Linked DNA regions of Alligator mississippiensis. The protein of the gene in region 1 binds, or shares a complex with, the protein of each later gene. Links are inferred from orthologs where the notes say so. Each region holds a gene or a part of one and is shown in the gene's direction. Other genes may lie near its edges.

Region 1 (7,084 bases):
GCATCACCATCTACATGTGCATGGCAAATACGGCACAGTAGATTAATTTACTGAACTGCCAGACAGTCCCATGAGATACAAGTGATGTCTGGCAGTGCAGTAGATTACTATGCTTAAACACATGTAGACGGTGACATTGGGATTAGTTTACTCCAACTCCAGCTCAAGCTGAACAGGAGTATATTCAGTTGCATCAATTGCACGTGTAGATGTGCCTAGTTTGTACATTCTTTGCAAACAAACATTATTAAACCAAAGATTACTCAGTCATGCTTCTTTTCCCAGTGGAAGGAACCTACAGAGCCACAAGTTTGTGTTAATTGTGTGGGCTAAAAAGGATAACAATGCACATTTTTTACCAAAAACAACATCGAATCAGAGAAGCCAGCAGAGGAGAAAAACAGAGAAGAAAAGCAAAGAAGATGTAAAGTACAGGAAATTAAAGGACCAAAACAGAACAAAACTAGAGCTCGGGGAAACATTCTAGAAATCAATTCTTCAGTTAATTTTGTATTTCAAATTTAAAAAAATGGATAATTGATTGTAAACGTTTTGTGGAAAGGTATTATCCCATGTCAAATTAAAAAGCTGAATATTTTTACAGAGGATGCTAGTAGTGAAAGGCATACCCAATTTCCAAAGGTGAAACAAGGGAATTATAAGTAGCTAGAGGCTTCTTGGAAAATTACTCTAAAAGATAACTTCAGCCAGCTTTACAGAAAGAAAAGGACTCTTGTCTAGAATGATGTTTGAATAGCAGGCAAGAATATGTTGGACTGAGTTGAGAAAATCAACTGAACTGGCATAAAATGAATGTCACTGCTTCCTCTGTGCACTATGTGAATCAGTGTAGGCAAAACATTTACAAGACTTTGAATTTAATGTAGTTGGTTGGGGAACGTCTGAAAATTCGTAGCCTCTTTAGGCAAATTTTAGCTCGATGTCCACAAGCAAAAATGCTCCTGACGTTTCACAAACTGTCCTAATACTTACAGTTGCACCAAGTTCAACAAAGTCTTGTTCACACTTATTTGTGTTGTGGCCCAGTTTCAATTTTCTCAGTAGCAGCAAGAACTTAAAAAAAATATGTCTGCACTGGTTTGCTTTGTACCCAGGGTCTTAGAAAGTTCCTTCTTGGACCATTCTAGAGCAGGGTTCTCTGCTCTCTGTGTTCCCAATTTGGAGAAATTACTGGAAAATCAATTATCCAGTAAGCCCTCCAGTAATTATCCAGCAAGTCCTCCAGTTCTTATGAAATACTAAGCTGGGTACCCATAAACTGAGGTCCCTAGAATCACTGATCACTTTAATAATTTTTGGCCCAAATGTTGTACAAGCATTCCAGGTGTTTAAATGCATGTGGAAATGCTGATACAGCTGTGGGAACCTTGGAAATTCATCTGACTTCTCTGCACAACACTTTCTCCATTTGTAAAAAGGTGTGACACCTAGACCCTAATAGTGTTGTACACAAAGTTAATTTACTACAACCAATCAATTTGTCAAAACTGTCTGCAGACCAATGTGTATTCTCTTGATAGTCATTTTTCCTAACTGTTAATGTTTGTAGAAGTATGCCTTTGTGCATGGAGAATTTAAGGTTTGTGACCTAAATGAGACGATATGTTTTTGTTACCCTATCAGAAATGCTAACCTTTGGAAAGAGGAATGTCTTACAAAATCTTTTGTGAAATCAAGTCTGTCGGGAAAATAGTAGAGAACACTCTAGTTCTGAAAATTAATTTCTGAAGCATTTTGAAAACCTCTCAGAGAAGTAGCTGTGGAAATTAACTTTTTATTTCCACCTTTTTTTGTTGCATACTTTTACATTGTTCTGGGATGCAACTGTAGAATGAATGTTAACACTGCAATAACTGTAACAGTGACAGCCTAATATTTTGTCTGTTTGTGAAAAATGTATCCAATCTTACGGCCTCCCTCACTACAGTATCCAAGCACCTCACAAGAATTAAGTCTCATCATCCCTTTAAGATGTGGAAATATAATTATTCCCATTTTATGAATAGAAAACAGAAGCCCAGCAGGACTGGCTGACCTTCTCAAGGTCACACAAGAAATCTGTGGCAGATCCAGAAATGAATGAGACCCTTGTGCCTTAACCAGAAGCTCACCCTTTCTTGGCTCTACCAAAGCTAATTTTGTCTTCCTAAGAGCCATGACAGAAGTGTGCAGAACACATCTGTCAGTCTCATAAAGCTGTATTCAGAAATGAAATTTTCAAGTGTCTGGGGAAGTCTAGCTAAGCCACAATGCATCAGTGCAGCTGAGGATACTGAGTTGCAGTGAGAGAATTTCTTCTGGTGTATGTGGTTAGAGATTTTATTTTCTTCTGGGAAGAAAGTCAAGAAAGATTCTTGATCAACTACTCTGCAAGATTTGTGTTTCATTGTTCTGATTTCTCAAATGACCTCCAGGTATGTGGGGTAAGGTAATATTTTTTGCTGGCATTCAAAATGGGCAGGAGCCAATTACTGTTAGCATTTATTTTTTGATTGTTTCACTTGAATGAGGAGAAAGATGAAAGAGATTCAGGTGAGAAAAGAGGAAGCTACAATGAGGCACAAGCAAGCAGTGATGATAAGGTAGTCAGAATGATTTATTTATCTGCTGGGGCTCCTAGACTGGTTTATACTGACTTCACTGTGTTGCCTTAACCCTCTAGGCTCAGTTACTTGCCTCAGGCTCATGCTCTGAGTGTTATACCAGCTTCCCTATGTCTTTACAGTGCTGGCTTTAACAGTTCTGGGACTTGAGCACCAACAATGGCAAGGCGGGGTATTTATGATGGGCTGAGGGCCTGGAGCACAGCTGGCCATCCGTTCCAATGAAGTGCCTTCCTGAGTAGACACGCTTGTGTCAAAAACAAGACTTCCAAGGACCAAACCAAGAGCATCCAGCACAGTTGTGCCTTACAGCTGGCAGTTTCTCACCAAAACAGGGCTGATCCGTGTCAGAAATGGGAGTGGGAACCAGCACTTCTGCACTGTGTTCTCAACCCTTGGGTGCCACAACCGCCACTGACAAACGGTTCAGGCCTAAAGGGTGGGGGCCTGCCTTTGCCTTCACAGAAAATGAGGGCTAGCAATGACGTCAGTAGGTCTAGTCCATCGTTTCTCAACCTAACCCAAAAGTGGGTCGTGAGAATATATGCAAGGGTTGTGAACAAACTTAAAAAATGGATCCTTTGAAGGAGAAAAACACGGGAAACTGGGTTCCCCCTTGCTGGCTGGCAGAGCTCCAGCCTGCCAGGGGCTGCTTGGGCCCCCGTGACCCTCACAGCAGGGGCAACAGATTGGGAGCGAGGGACCGGACATTAAATTTACAAAAGGGTCCTAGTACAAAAAAGGTTGACACCCGCTGCTCTAGTCCAACCGCTGCTGACAACAGGGCCATCCCCAGCCCTATCACCCCCGCCAGGGCTTTGTCTAGCCGGGTCTTCACAACCTCTGAGGTTGGCGATTCCCCCTCCCGCAGGCAGGGGCTGAACACCTGCAGTTTCTCGTGGGGCCGGGCCTTCACCCCAGCCTCCCGCCCCGCTGGGGTCCCCCGCCCGCTCACAGGCGAGGCCGGGCCCGGGAGGGCGGCGCTCCCGACACGCGCGCGGGCTCCCGGGCAGGCGGCGACACGAAGCCCGCGCGGCCGCAGCCCCCCCCCGCACTGCAGCACCACGCCGGCGCCCAGCGAGTCCCCGCCCCCCCCCGCCGCGCGCGGCCGGGCCGGGCCGGGGCCCGGGCCCCTCAGAGCCGGGCCCCGCGGGGGAGGGGCGGGGCAGCGCCCCCCGCTCCTGGCAAAGTCAGCGCGCGCGAACCCGCCGGGCCCCATCAAACGCCTAGGCCCGCCCCCCGCGTCATGGAAACAAGCACGTCAGAGGGCGCAGCCAATGGGAGAGCGCGGCAGGGGGCGGGGCCCCGCCCGCTCGGCGCCGGTGCCAATCACAGGCCCCGCCCCCGCCCCCCCATTGAAGGCGGTGCGCAGCGCTCCCCGCCGCCTTCCTGCCTGCGAGTCGGGTCTGTCACGTGAGCGCGGCTGGGGCCCGCTGGCGGTTGCGGCCCGGCGGCAGGTGAGTGCGGGCGGGGGTGCTGTGGGCGTCGTGAGGAGCCGCCGGGCGTGGGGCGGGGCGGGGCGGGGCGGGGCGAGGCGAGGGGAGCCCGCCCCTGCGTGTGTCCCCTCCCCTGCGCGCAGGGCGCCGCTTCCCTCCGGCGGGCGGCGCGGCGCGGGGCGGGGCGGGGCGGGCAGCGCCGGGACTGGCGGTCGGGCCGGCGGCTCCTTGCAGCGGGGCTGCACCGAGGTAAGGTGCTGCGGCCCCCCGCTCCTCTCCCCTCCCCCTATCCTGGCGCGGGGCCGCGCCGGCAGGTGCCCGGGGAGGCCCCGTGCAGTGCGCACCTGGCGGCCGTGACCTTGAGGGGAGCCGCTGCGGGGGCCGCAGGCGGCTTCATTTCCTCTCCCCCCCCCCCGGGTAGGAGGCGCCGGGCGCCCCTCGGGCAGCCCGGAGATGCAGGTGGCTCCGGGCCCCTGCCGGGTTAAATCGCCGGGATTAGGCGGCGGCTGCTGCGCGGCATCCTCCCCTGCAGGCGGCGAGGAAGGGAGCCGGTCGCCCCCCGCCGGGCTGCGTCGGGAGCCGAAGCCGCAGCTGGTGGCGGAGGGTGTCTCCTCGCCCGCGTGCGTGCGTGCGTCCCTCCCTCCCCGCGCTCCGCCTCGCGCCGCTTTATCCCGGGGCGGGGTGCGCTCCCCCGGGCCTGCGGTGCCCCCGGGATGGGGCGAGGGCCGCCGCAGGCGTCGGCAGCAGCTCCTGGAAGCCGGTGGCGGCGGGCTGGCCCCGCTGCAGAGCAGGAAGCGTCTCCCGCCCTGGCCGTGCTGACACTGTCACTCTCCGCCAGACGGGGTGTGTAACCTTTGGATGCTGCACCACGTGAGTTGCTGGAGAGGCCTGAGTGCGGGGGGCCTCCGAGCGCTAACAGTTGCCCGAGGGAGCGCTGGCTGCTGGTGCGCTAGGGAGCGATTGCGCCTGCAAGGGTGGGGGAAGCATCCAGAAGATGGTGACTGCGGGAATACCTCTGCTGTTGCCTGCCTTTGCTGTTCAAAGAGCAGTTTTCTTTTCCCCGCCAGTGTCAGAGCCCAGAAACCGGAGGAGCTTCTGTTAGCTTTTTGGGAAGAAGGCTTCTCCTCAGAAATCCAGTCTGCAGTGCTTGTGCTCACGATCTTGGGAGGCATTTCATTTAGCGCGGTATTCGCTAGCAACGTAAGTGGCTGCTGTTGAGCTAACAAGAAGCATCTGCTTTAATTTTTCCGAAGCTAGAAGATTTATGGTTAAGTGGCGCTAGTCTCCCATGGCATTCATCTGACTAGCTGTTGAGGTAAATGACATTCATAGCAGGGAATGAGTCTTGAGGATAATGTTCCAGTTACTCCTTCACCTGGTTTCATTGCTTCAGTTTAATTTTTTGTAAACTTGTGAAGAGGAATAAGGCGTACCATAAGTCTTCTTTGAAGGATCTCTTCTGGGGCCGAAGGATGATTATTTGAGGTGATGCTAGAGTTCCCTGGCACTGACCTTTTGTGTCCTGCCTTCAATATGCAACTTGATTTTGAGCTTTCTTAAGTGCTGCTGGAAATTTTTAAAAGCTTAATTGTTTCCTTTTCATAAAAATGCATGATCTGTAGTCCAAAGCTCCTATGATTTCAGTGTGGGAGGGAGAAATAAATGTATTTGGCTTAAAGTAATGAATTTGCAGGATTCAGTTAGGAAGTTGAAGTGATGCCCCTTAGAGCTATAAAACATAGCTTAAGACTTGGAAGTGTAAGCAAAGTATACCCTTGGTGTAAAGAGTAGTATCTTCCATTAATATTGTGTTGTATGAAGGAGCATGGCATTGCAAATCTTTGGGGAGGAAGGGGGCATTGCTGTATATGTTTAAAGTGTTACAGGTATGAAGTGGGTTTAAGGAGGCTCTTTTTAAAATGGCTTCTGACTTGAAAAATACCTTGACAGGTTGACTTGAATTTTTTTTTTTTTTTTTTTTGCTTGTTTAGCTTACTACCATCTTTAATTTACACTAGCTATATAATAAGGCCATTACATTTTGAACTGGCATTGTAGCTTTTAAGCTCTTGAGGAACTCATTCCAGGGACCACAAATGCAGCCTTTTAACTAAAGTAAATTTGAGTATCTTAAAGCATTGACTTTGCTGTTAGAAATAGCTTCCAGTGTACTAGAACTTAAATCCTTGGGGCATAATGAATGGAAACTTGTTTAGTGTGCAAATGGAAAAGTGGTCACTGAATAGTTCAGTAAAAAATAATTAAACCTTTTTAAAATGTCAAATTGCAGATCTGGACTGGCATGGGGGGGGGGGTGGTTCTTGCTCGCCTCCTGCTCCTTTCTTTCTACTGTGGTGGTGACTTTGAGGCTTTTAGCTTGAGTAGTCTGTGTCCAAGCTACTGTTGGCATGGATGAAAGCACTTGGAATTGCCCCCACCCCACCAGTACTGCCACCTTGATAGTCTGAACTACAATGTTCACAGTAATGAAAATCCTACTGAGCATGAAATATCAGTCATTCTCTTCTGTGGATGCCTGGGATTACAAACTGAATACTCGCTTCTAATGGGTGGGAATCCTGAGCTATGGTCGTGTCTTGTTTTGCAGGGACTTGTGTAAGGCATCTAGAGCTGACATTTTCTAACTTTGGATGATTTAACTTTTAAAGCAGATTGGTCTAATGTCACTGTCTTTGTATTTTCTGTGTAACTAAAAGATGTCTTAAGCTTCTAAAATTCTTTAAGACTCTCTTAAGTTATGGGGGAAATTATATACAGATGAATAACTTTTTTAGAAAACTTCTAAGCTTGGAATGGAGATTTTGGTGTGTGTTTGTCTTTTTTGTGGGAACTGCTGGATGCTGTCAGAATCGGTTCAAAATGGAGTAGGCATTTTTCCATAGGTGGATGGACAAGATTATGTAAAATTGTTTCTAACTATTATTTCTGTTGCTATTAACAGTACATATAAATGGTACTTGGGTATTCTTTACACAGCTCAATGTAACCTTGGTGCTGCTATCT
Region 2 (7,698 bases), on another chromosome or scaffold:
GGTGCCACATACCGCACATCCACTCATTTGGGTGTGGCCTGCCTGGTTAGTCTGTGAGATGCAAATCTACTCTGCCTTCAACAAAAGTACATTCAACTTTTAAAAGTTGAAAATAGCTATAAAGTTGAAATAAGGCAATTTTTAAGACTTAAGGAGATGTTGTCAAGATCAGTACTTCTGCAGTTTGGCCTACATACATTTCACGCTCCTGCCTGTTCACATATCTGTGTCTAGTCAACACTAAAGTGCTCTTTTAGTGGAGTGTATTTGTAGTGGCAAACCTTGAGTGTTAAGCTCCCGTGTGGCAGCAGGACCTCCCTTTCTGCTAGCAGTTGCACTTGCTCTTTCATTCCAAAGAAGGCTTTTGGTGCTGTCAAACAGACTCTGGAAGATACCTGTGGACAGTCCCAATCTTCTGCTTTAGCATTCGCTTCAGAACTCATGCCTTTCCAGGCTGCACTTTCCACTCTGCTGGGATGGTTATTGTGGTGGAGCCATGCAAATCTGCTAGAAGCTTATGAATGTGTACATGCGCCAGCAGGTTTCCTTGGCAGAGCTCTTGCCAGCAGAATCTGCTAAGTTTAGACAGGGCCTAAAACGCAATTGTTCTTTTGCAATTTTTAAAGCACATCGTTGTTCTTTAGCATCTCTACTTCCCGAATACTTATTCTTCTCCAGATTGCTGCAGTACCAAACTTAGAGATGCACACAATGAGCACCTTCAGACGTTTGTGGATATTTGGTTCCTTGGGGACAACTAGCGGCAGTGCATCTTGTGCCTGGGGAACAGTTGTGCTATGTGCGCTCAGGTGCGTGGCAGGTTACACAATAAATGTCCCCAGCAGCCTTACCTAGGGCTCTAGGGGCCTCCCCAGCAGCCTTACCTGAGGTCCTGTGCTGGCCCCAGCAGCCTTACCTGGGGTCCTCCCAGGGCTGCAGCAATGGCAATCCTGCTGTGTGGAGCCTGGTTGGCAGTGGAGTGTGGCTCCAACTAGTCAGGCTCTGGATTTGGGCAGCGCACGCTGCTGCCACATGCACTGCCCTGCTTTTTTTTTAACATAGGTTTTAATTTTTATTCATGGATATCTAGGGGTCAAAAAAAACCCTTGATGCTGCTCCCTTCCAGTGCAAAGAACAAAAAGTGCAGTATGTGGCACCGCAGATGTGTCTGCGGTGCCACATACTGCACAGCTGCGCTTGTCTGGATTTGGCAAATAAGGGCAAATCAAATAAGAACTCTTGGGCTCTTTTATAAGCAGTGATATCTGTACAGTGTCTGTTGCTATTGACTTGATTTTGTGCAATATGGTGAACCCTGGCAGAACTACCAAACAGCAGGGATTCTTCAGATCTGTTTCCAGAGATTTGTTGCATTATGGAAAGCATCCAGTTTTAATGTTTGTTCCTTTTTCGTATACTCTATTTGGTTCTGGCTGATTTCAGCTCTGCTTTTAGCTTCTCTCTGGAAGTCTTTAGCAAAAAGGGCCCTCTGGCAGCTGCAGAGTACCTGAAAGTATTGTTCCCAACTGACTAATGCTGTTTGATGTATTTTGCAGTTGCTATAACTAATGAAAATACAAATCTCATAAATCAGTGTTTTGTATGGCAAGCATCTGCCACACAGTTAGTCATTTGCTATGAAAATGAATTAGTTAGCTTTGCCAGAATGTTTAAACAAATCTCCACCTTCTTAGCAGTTGTTCCAGGGTTTTACCCTTAGGTGCAAGTAGCTTTCTAAACCCCAGTTATCCAGTATGGTACGAAGAGGACTTTATTGTCTCTGATTCTAAGTTTCTTGAGTTGCTGCCAGTCTTTTTGCATCCCAGATTCTTCCTCACCTATAGACTGAGCATAATGTTTCTAGTCTCGTGGTTGGTTATTTGTCAGCTAAGCAAGCTCGATTTGAGAGAGTGACCGTAAATATAGAGCATTATTGTAGGCTGCTGCAGTAGCTGTTCAAGATCCTGGCTGGCATTGCTTTGCACTGTGTTTTTGAGGTTGCCTTCTTGACTGTCAGCATTTCAATATGGCTCATAACAGGATTTTGACCTTTTAGAATGAGACCATCTTCTGCACTGTTTCTCTAGACAGGTGTCATCCTCCATTTATTTGACTGCAAATACAATAGCATGTCTGTATTATAGAGCTGTGGAATAGTTTGGATTTCACCTCCCTTATAAAAGTAGACCCTAAGATAGATGTAAAAAGAAGCTAGATTTGCTCATGACTTACTGCTTAGGCTTTCACATTGAAAAATCTAGGTTCAAATGGGTTTGGGTCTTATACATGAATTTGTACAGGAGGGGAATCTCTCTCTAGGTTCTTCCCTACCCAGCACAGCATTCTTAAAATTTGTCCATGGGACAGTATGACAAATCATGTTCATAACTTTACTTCTGTTGTTGGCAACGGAAGCAGTATGAAACCAGTGTGATCCATATATTAGTCACATTGCTGGGAAGCACTGTGCAGGAGCAGCAGTCTAAATAGGCTCTTCAGCTACTACTAATTGGCGGTATTTTATGGAATAGAAGACAAACTAGTTTCTCTTGTGTCCTTCCATCAGCAGGGGGTTACTTTTGACCTTCTGTCTCTCTTGAGTTAACCTTTTCCCTTTTAATATTAATTGGATACAGGGAAAGAATGAAATGGTTGATGAGGCTAATCTTTGCATCAGAAGTAAAACTAGTTTTAATATTAATTTTGATTTTGTAAGGAGCAGTTGTTTGCCTAATACACGTTTCCCTTGCCAACCGCTGGGGTTAGGTTCCTGAAAGTTCCTGTTTTTGGCAAAACTGTGGTTGGCAAGACAAAAGACTTATGGGAAAAATGGCAGGTGGTGGGCTATTGCATGGCCATGGAAAACCGTGGTTACTCAAACTGTATACTGTGGTGGCCAGAATGGTAGATAAAATATTACATGTGAATACTCAAAATCATGGTTGGCAAGGGAACCTGTAGTCATAGTCTGTAGCCATTGCTCATAGCATACTTCAGCTTCCAGTGATTGCTATGGATGGATCAGCATTGGGACAGCAACAGGAGACTTGACCCTAACTGACTTTGCCTTGTGCTTTCTAGCAAGAACAGAAAATGCTTTGCTAATCTTAAGTGACATTTATGGTATAGCATTGGCTTTCTAGTATGTGCAGTTCACTCTTGAATTTTATTTTACACCGGTATCAGTAACCTGTTGAGTAGCAGAAAAAAGACAGCCTTGGAGCTGTTAAAATAAGGGGGTGTGGGTCAATAGTTGGAAAGAAATCTTCTTTGCAAGCTTTTGGGCACAAACACCCTTCCTCAGGCTATTCATTCCATCCAGGAAGAGCACACACAAACTGCAGATACTTCCTCAGCCTGACAAAGGGTGTTTGTGCCCAAAAGCTTGCAAAGAAGAAGATTTTTTTCTCCAACTAATTGAGTTGGTCTAATACAAGATACCAGATTTACCCAAAGAACCTTGTCTGTCTTGTCAGTATGCATTGAAAGCTTTACAGAATGAGTGTCTTGCTCTTTGCTTTCCCTTCCACTTAAAACCAAAATCCGTTGTTTTCTCTTCTTCATCACTTCTGAAAACAGCTCTTTTTGTTGGGGGAAGAGGGGGATAGTGTATTTGATTTACTTTTATCAGTAGTGGAGGCCAGACGGTGACACTAAGTCCTACATGCTGTGCTGCTGTTGATCCCTGGTGCCTGAAGAGAATTTAGCATGGCAATATGACGGGTTTTGCTGCATAATCTAGTTGGCCAGCTGCATTCTAAATCTTTCAGTACACAAAAGACTGGCTTTTAAAGCAGCATTATTTTTGGTGGGTCACTTGCAAAATATGATTTGAAGGACAATTTAGAACAAAATCAAGTGCACTGATGTAGGAATGCTGGTAAATAGAGAAGTTGATCACAAAAAGATTCCATGAACCTCGTACTCAATTGTAATCATGTAAGCTTTTTAACCTTTTCTTTTCTTTTTTTTTTAAAGATATATTACCTGTCTTTTTAGTATAGTTAATTACTGGATGCTGTTGTTTTCTCAATTAGTGAAACAGGTTTGTCCTGTATGACGGATTTTATTCTCACATACGTTAGACTGTTTGTGAGACTCTACTCCTTCAGCTGCAGTGAACGAACTACTGCAGGAAAGAAGGTAATTTATATCTTAGGGAATTCCCTGCCTCCTAAGTTCAGAATAGATGGAAGAAAAGATCAAAGTAGAGTTTATGGTAGAGTGCTGCATAGGGCAGAAGTTTTGATGTTTCTTCTGTGCTTGATTTTAAATCAGAAAACTGTTCAATGCAAAAAGGCTGAAAATGGACAGAAGTTTTTTAGATGCTTTAACACTGGATAAATTTAAATAGTTCAAGCAGGTTAAAAATATAACTTGCAGTCTCTCTTCTCATAGCTCTTAGCTGTCATGTCATTGCTTTCCAGTTCTGAAGGGTTGGTGTGTGTTTACAGCATTAGGCTTGCCTTTTCCAGCCTCCCATAATCCACTTTGCCACTCCAGAGATCCCATCATAAAATGCTTATCTTGATGGCCCGTCTCCCAAGAACCCTTCCTTGAAAGGGCATGCTGTGCTACCACAATTAAAACTAACAAGTCTTCCGTTGCAAGCGCTGTGTGTTCTGTTCTTTCTATAAAAATCATGTTAACGGCTGTTACTGTAGATACTAATGTCTTATCTAATCCTTTGTCTGTTTTCTGCAACTCATTTGCTTTGTTCTTTATAAGATCTGTTATCTTCTGCTGGTCTGTCACTGCATTTCTGCTGCCCCTCCCTCTAGCTGGGTTTGTCAAGTCGCCCATGTCAGAAACTAAACTCACGGGGGACGCCTTTGAGCTGTACTGTGACGTGGTTGGGAACCCCACTCCAGAGATCCAGTGGTGGTATGCTGAAGTCAACCGGGCTGAATCTTTCAAACAGCTGTGGGATGGCGCTCGGAAGCGCCGTGTCACCATTAACACTGCCTACGGGGCGAATGGGGTGAGTGTGCTGAGAATAACCCGCCTTACCTTGGAAGACTCTGGGACTTACGAGTGCAGGGCCAGCAACGATCCCAGGAGGAATGACTTGAGGCAAAATCCCTCCATAACGTGGATTCGAGCCCAGGCTACCATAAGCGTCCTTCAGAGTGAGTTCAGCACCCTACAGTAGTAGTACTGTAGTAACTAGAGGCAGTCCAGTGACCCTTCTCCTTCCTCCCCCTCCCATGACCCTTGATATAACCACCTGTTGTCTTGTTTTCTGAACCCAAGACTGTTCTTCCAGTTGTAGTGCTTAAGTGTCTGCCATCTTTGTTCTGTGCCTCTCTCCTCCCTAGGATCAAAGGACTTGGGAAAAAATCTGTGGAACTGTACTAGATCTGCTATGTGAAAACAAGCCCAGTGTCGAATTTTTGTTTCTCCCCTTCCCCTTTACTTTTGTAATAGGCTTCCAGCCATCCTATTGCTGGCTTCTTCATGAGTGCCTTTCTATTTTGGTTTGTACTCTTCCCTGATCTAACTTTTTTTTTTTTTTCTTCCACTTTCTTGGGATTTCTCTGAATGCTTTTCTTGCTTGTATCATTTTGAGTACATAAACATCTGTACAAAGCCTTCCCTTTTAGTTTGTGGTTGTTGTTACATGTGAACTTTAAAGGCTGGATTTTTCCATAAAGACATGAAGCTTTTATTTTCTAAACAGCAGCATGTAGCTTAATGGATTCTCTGATGCAGCAGCACCTTACTGATGCAGCTCTTCTGTGGTGTGAAAGCAAATGACACAGAGTAAGGGCATGTTATCAAGCTGATGTTCATGAGCTTTAGTCAAATGATTCCCCACTGAGAATATAATCTCCCTTTTTAAATTCTTAAGGCAGAGGGTACAATTGTTTATAGCCGTTCATTCCCCTCTGAGTCAGTGTGCTGTATACATTCTGCTGGCTTCACTTCGAGCTTCCAGCCAAGTTCGGGTCTCATTTTCTGAACATGCACACACACGCTCTTTATTTGCATAGAGAGAATACTGCTTGATCTCTGAGACTTAATGGTCGGTGTACAGTTTGCATCATATTCACAATGGAGTACATGCAGAGACAATTAAACTGGAAAATGAAAATGAAGAGCAGAAGGTAAAGGAGAGTGTGTTGTATTGATGTAAATGTTTTAGTGCCTGGAGACTGAGTAGCAGAGAATACATGTTTTCAAAATTGTTCTGGGTATTTGTACAGATAAACCAAAATGCCACAGAACCATTGTCTAGTTACAACATGCCTCTTCAGCTTCACATTCAGTAGCCCAATATAAAGCCTCAGTGACATCCATTGAATATATGTGGTTGTATCTAAAGTACTCCATGCTCATAAACATCTGGTAATTTAGTGTTAATTTAGTATGCTCAGGAAAGATAATTTTGAAGTGCCTCAGCATTACAGGAAGGTGCTACAAGATGATGGGTGTGCAGGAAGAGAAAATGGATGACGTGCTGCAGTCAGTACTGTTGGATCAGAGAACCTTGCACTGGAAAATGGAAAGAACATGGATATATGTGGAAAAATAACAGAGAGAGAACCCAATGTCATGGATTTATTTAAAAACAAAAAAACATTGGATTGTTCAGCTTCCACTCCTAGTACTTGACCCCTCCCTAGACCTTCGAGGTCACAAAGGACTCTCACCTTAAGTTAACTCATATCAGTTACAGCAATAAGAGTCTCTTAATTTCAGGGAACACTATTCCCTCAAGACAAAACTAAACTAAATTGTCTTGCAGCAAGTTTAACTTCTCTGGAAGTCTGTTTCCTTTCTAATATGACTCCAGCTTCTACTGCCCATGACAGTCTATTTTGTTTCCTTTTACTTCTTGCCTACCCACTCTTTTGAGTGGCCTATTGGTCTCGTCAAATGAAAAAAAAAATTGCATGCATTTGAGGGTGAGTCCTTATGAAAATGCCTTCCTGCTCCATTAGGAAATGCTTCCTATAGCCCTCAAACATAACTGAAACTTTCCTATTTTGGGAAAAACTTTCCTGTTGGCCTGTTCTCACACCTGCATCCAGTGTTACCTAATTCTTGAATGTATAACATGAATTTGTTGCCAAGTGCCTTGTATTTTTGTTTCACATTGGTAAGTTCAGTGTTTGTTTTCTCAGAGCACAACATACATTTTAACCAACTCTACTGCGCGCATAAAGGAGGTTGATCTATGGTTTGTGAGAAACAGGACTCTCAAACCTTTAACCTGCAGGTAATGGTACACTAAAATGAGGAAGGCTGTTTATGGAAGCACAAGCAGTAACGGGAAGGCAGAAGTCCAAGGTCTGAAACCAGCCCAGGACACTTAAGCTGTCAAGAAATTTGCTGAGTAGAAGCTGCCATGTAACTTCATGGAGTGCTGTTGCTTATACCATATAAACTAGGCTGTATATGAAATGAAAGCTTGGGGTTCAGTGGTGTTGAAGTCTCCTGCTGAAGAGGGTCATGATTGCTGACCTCATTTGATACCAACATGTTGGGATGTCAAAGGAAACAAAAGATCACAGCCTGCTTTAATTTAATTGCTAGCGCAGGTTCAGTGCTTAATTTCAAAGCATAATGTAGGGGTGGGGGGAGGGAGAAGCACCGAGTATTGGTTTTAAATTGTAGAACTAGTCTTGGTTCCAACCAAACATTATGTTTTCCATGCTCTTTTACAGTAAAATGATAGATTCTAGCTCAACGTCG

The links.
Region 2: the proteins of ATP2B1 (region 1) and NPTN are in contact, whole or in part, in a cryo-EM structure (PDB 6A69), measured with the Homo sapiens proteins. The link is inferred for Alligator mississippiensis from reciprocal best matches to the Homo sapiens genes ATP2B1 and NPTN. Residues at the interface, in NP_001353449.1 of Homo sapiens: Phe954, Asp955, Ile956, Asp957, Glu996, Arg997, Asn998, Val999, Glu1039, Gln1040, Leu1042, Trp1043, Ile1045, Phe1046, Met1049, Gly1050, Leu1052, Leu1053, Gln1056; in NP_036560.1 of Homo sapiens: Arg245, Ser246, Asn248, Arg332, Arg334, Pro339, Pro342, Phe343, Gly345, Ile346, Glu349, Ile350, Ile352, Leu353, Ile356, Ile357, Tyr360.

What each region holds. Positions count from the first base shown.
Region 1 is NC_081827.1:85,551,848-85,558,931, reverse strand, and holds the start of ATP2B1 (plasma membrane calcium-transporting ATPase 1), read left to right. Parts: upstream 1-3,982; 5' UTR 3,983-4,081; intron 4,082-4,235; exon of another isoform or gene 4,236-4,309; intron 4,310-4,764; exon of another isoform or gene 4,765-4,930; intron 4,931-5,048; exon of another isoform or gene 5,049-5,260; intron 5,261-5,305; exon of another isoform or gene 5,306-5,375; intron 5,376-7,084. UniProt on the Homo sapiens protein: Catalyzes the hydrolysis of ATP coupled with the transport of calcium from the cytoplasm to the extracellular space thereby maintaining intracellular calcium homeostasis.
Region 2 is NC_081834.1:43,561,676-43,569,373, forward strand, and holds the start of NPTN (neuroplastin), read left to right. Parts: upstream 1-4,627; 5' UTR 4,628-4,642; coding exon 4,643-5,129; intron 5,130-7,698. UniProt on the Homo sapiens protein: Probable homophilic and heterophilic cell adhesion molecule involved in long term potentiation at hippocampal excitatory synapses through activation of p38MAPK. May also regulate neurite outgrowth by activating the FGFR1 signaling pathway.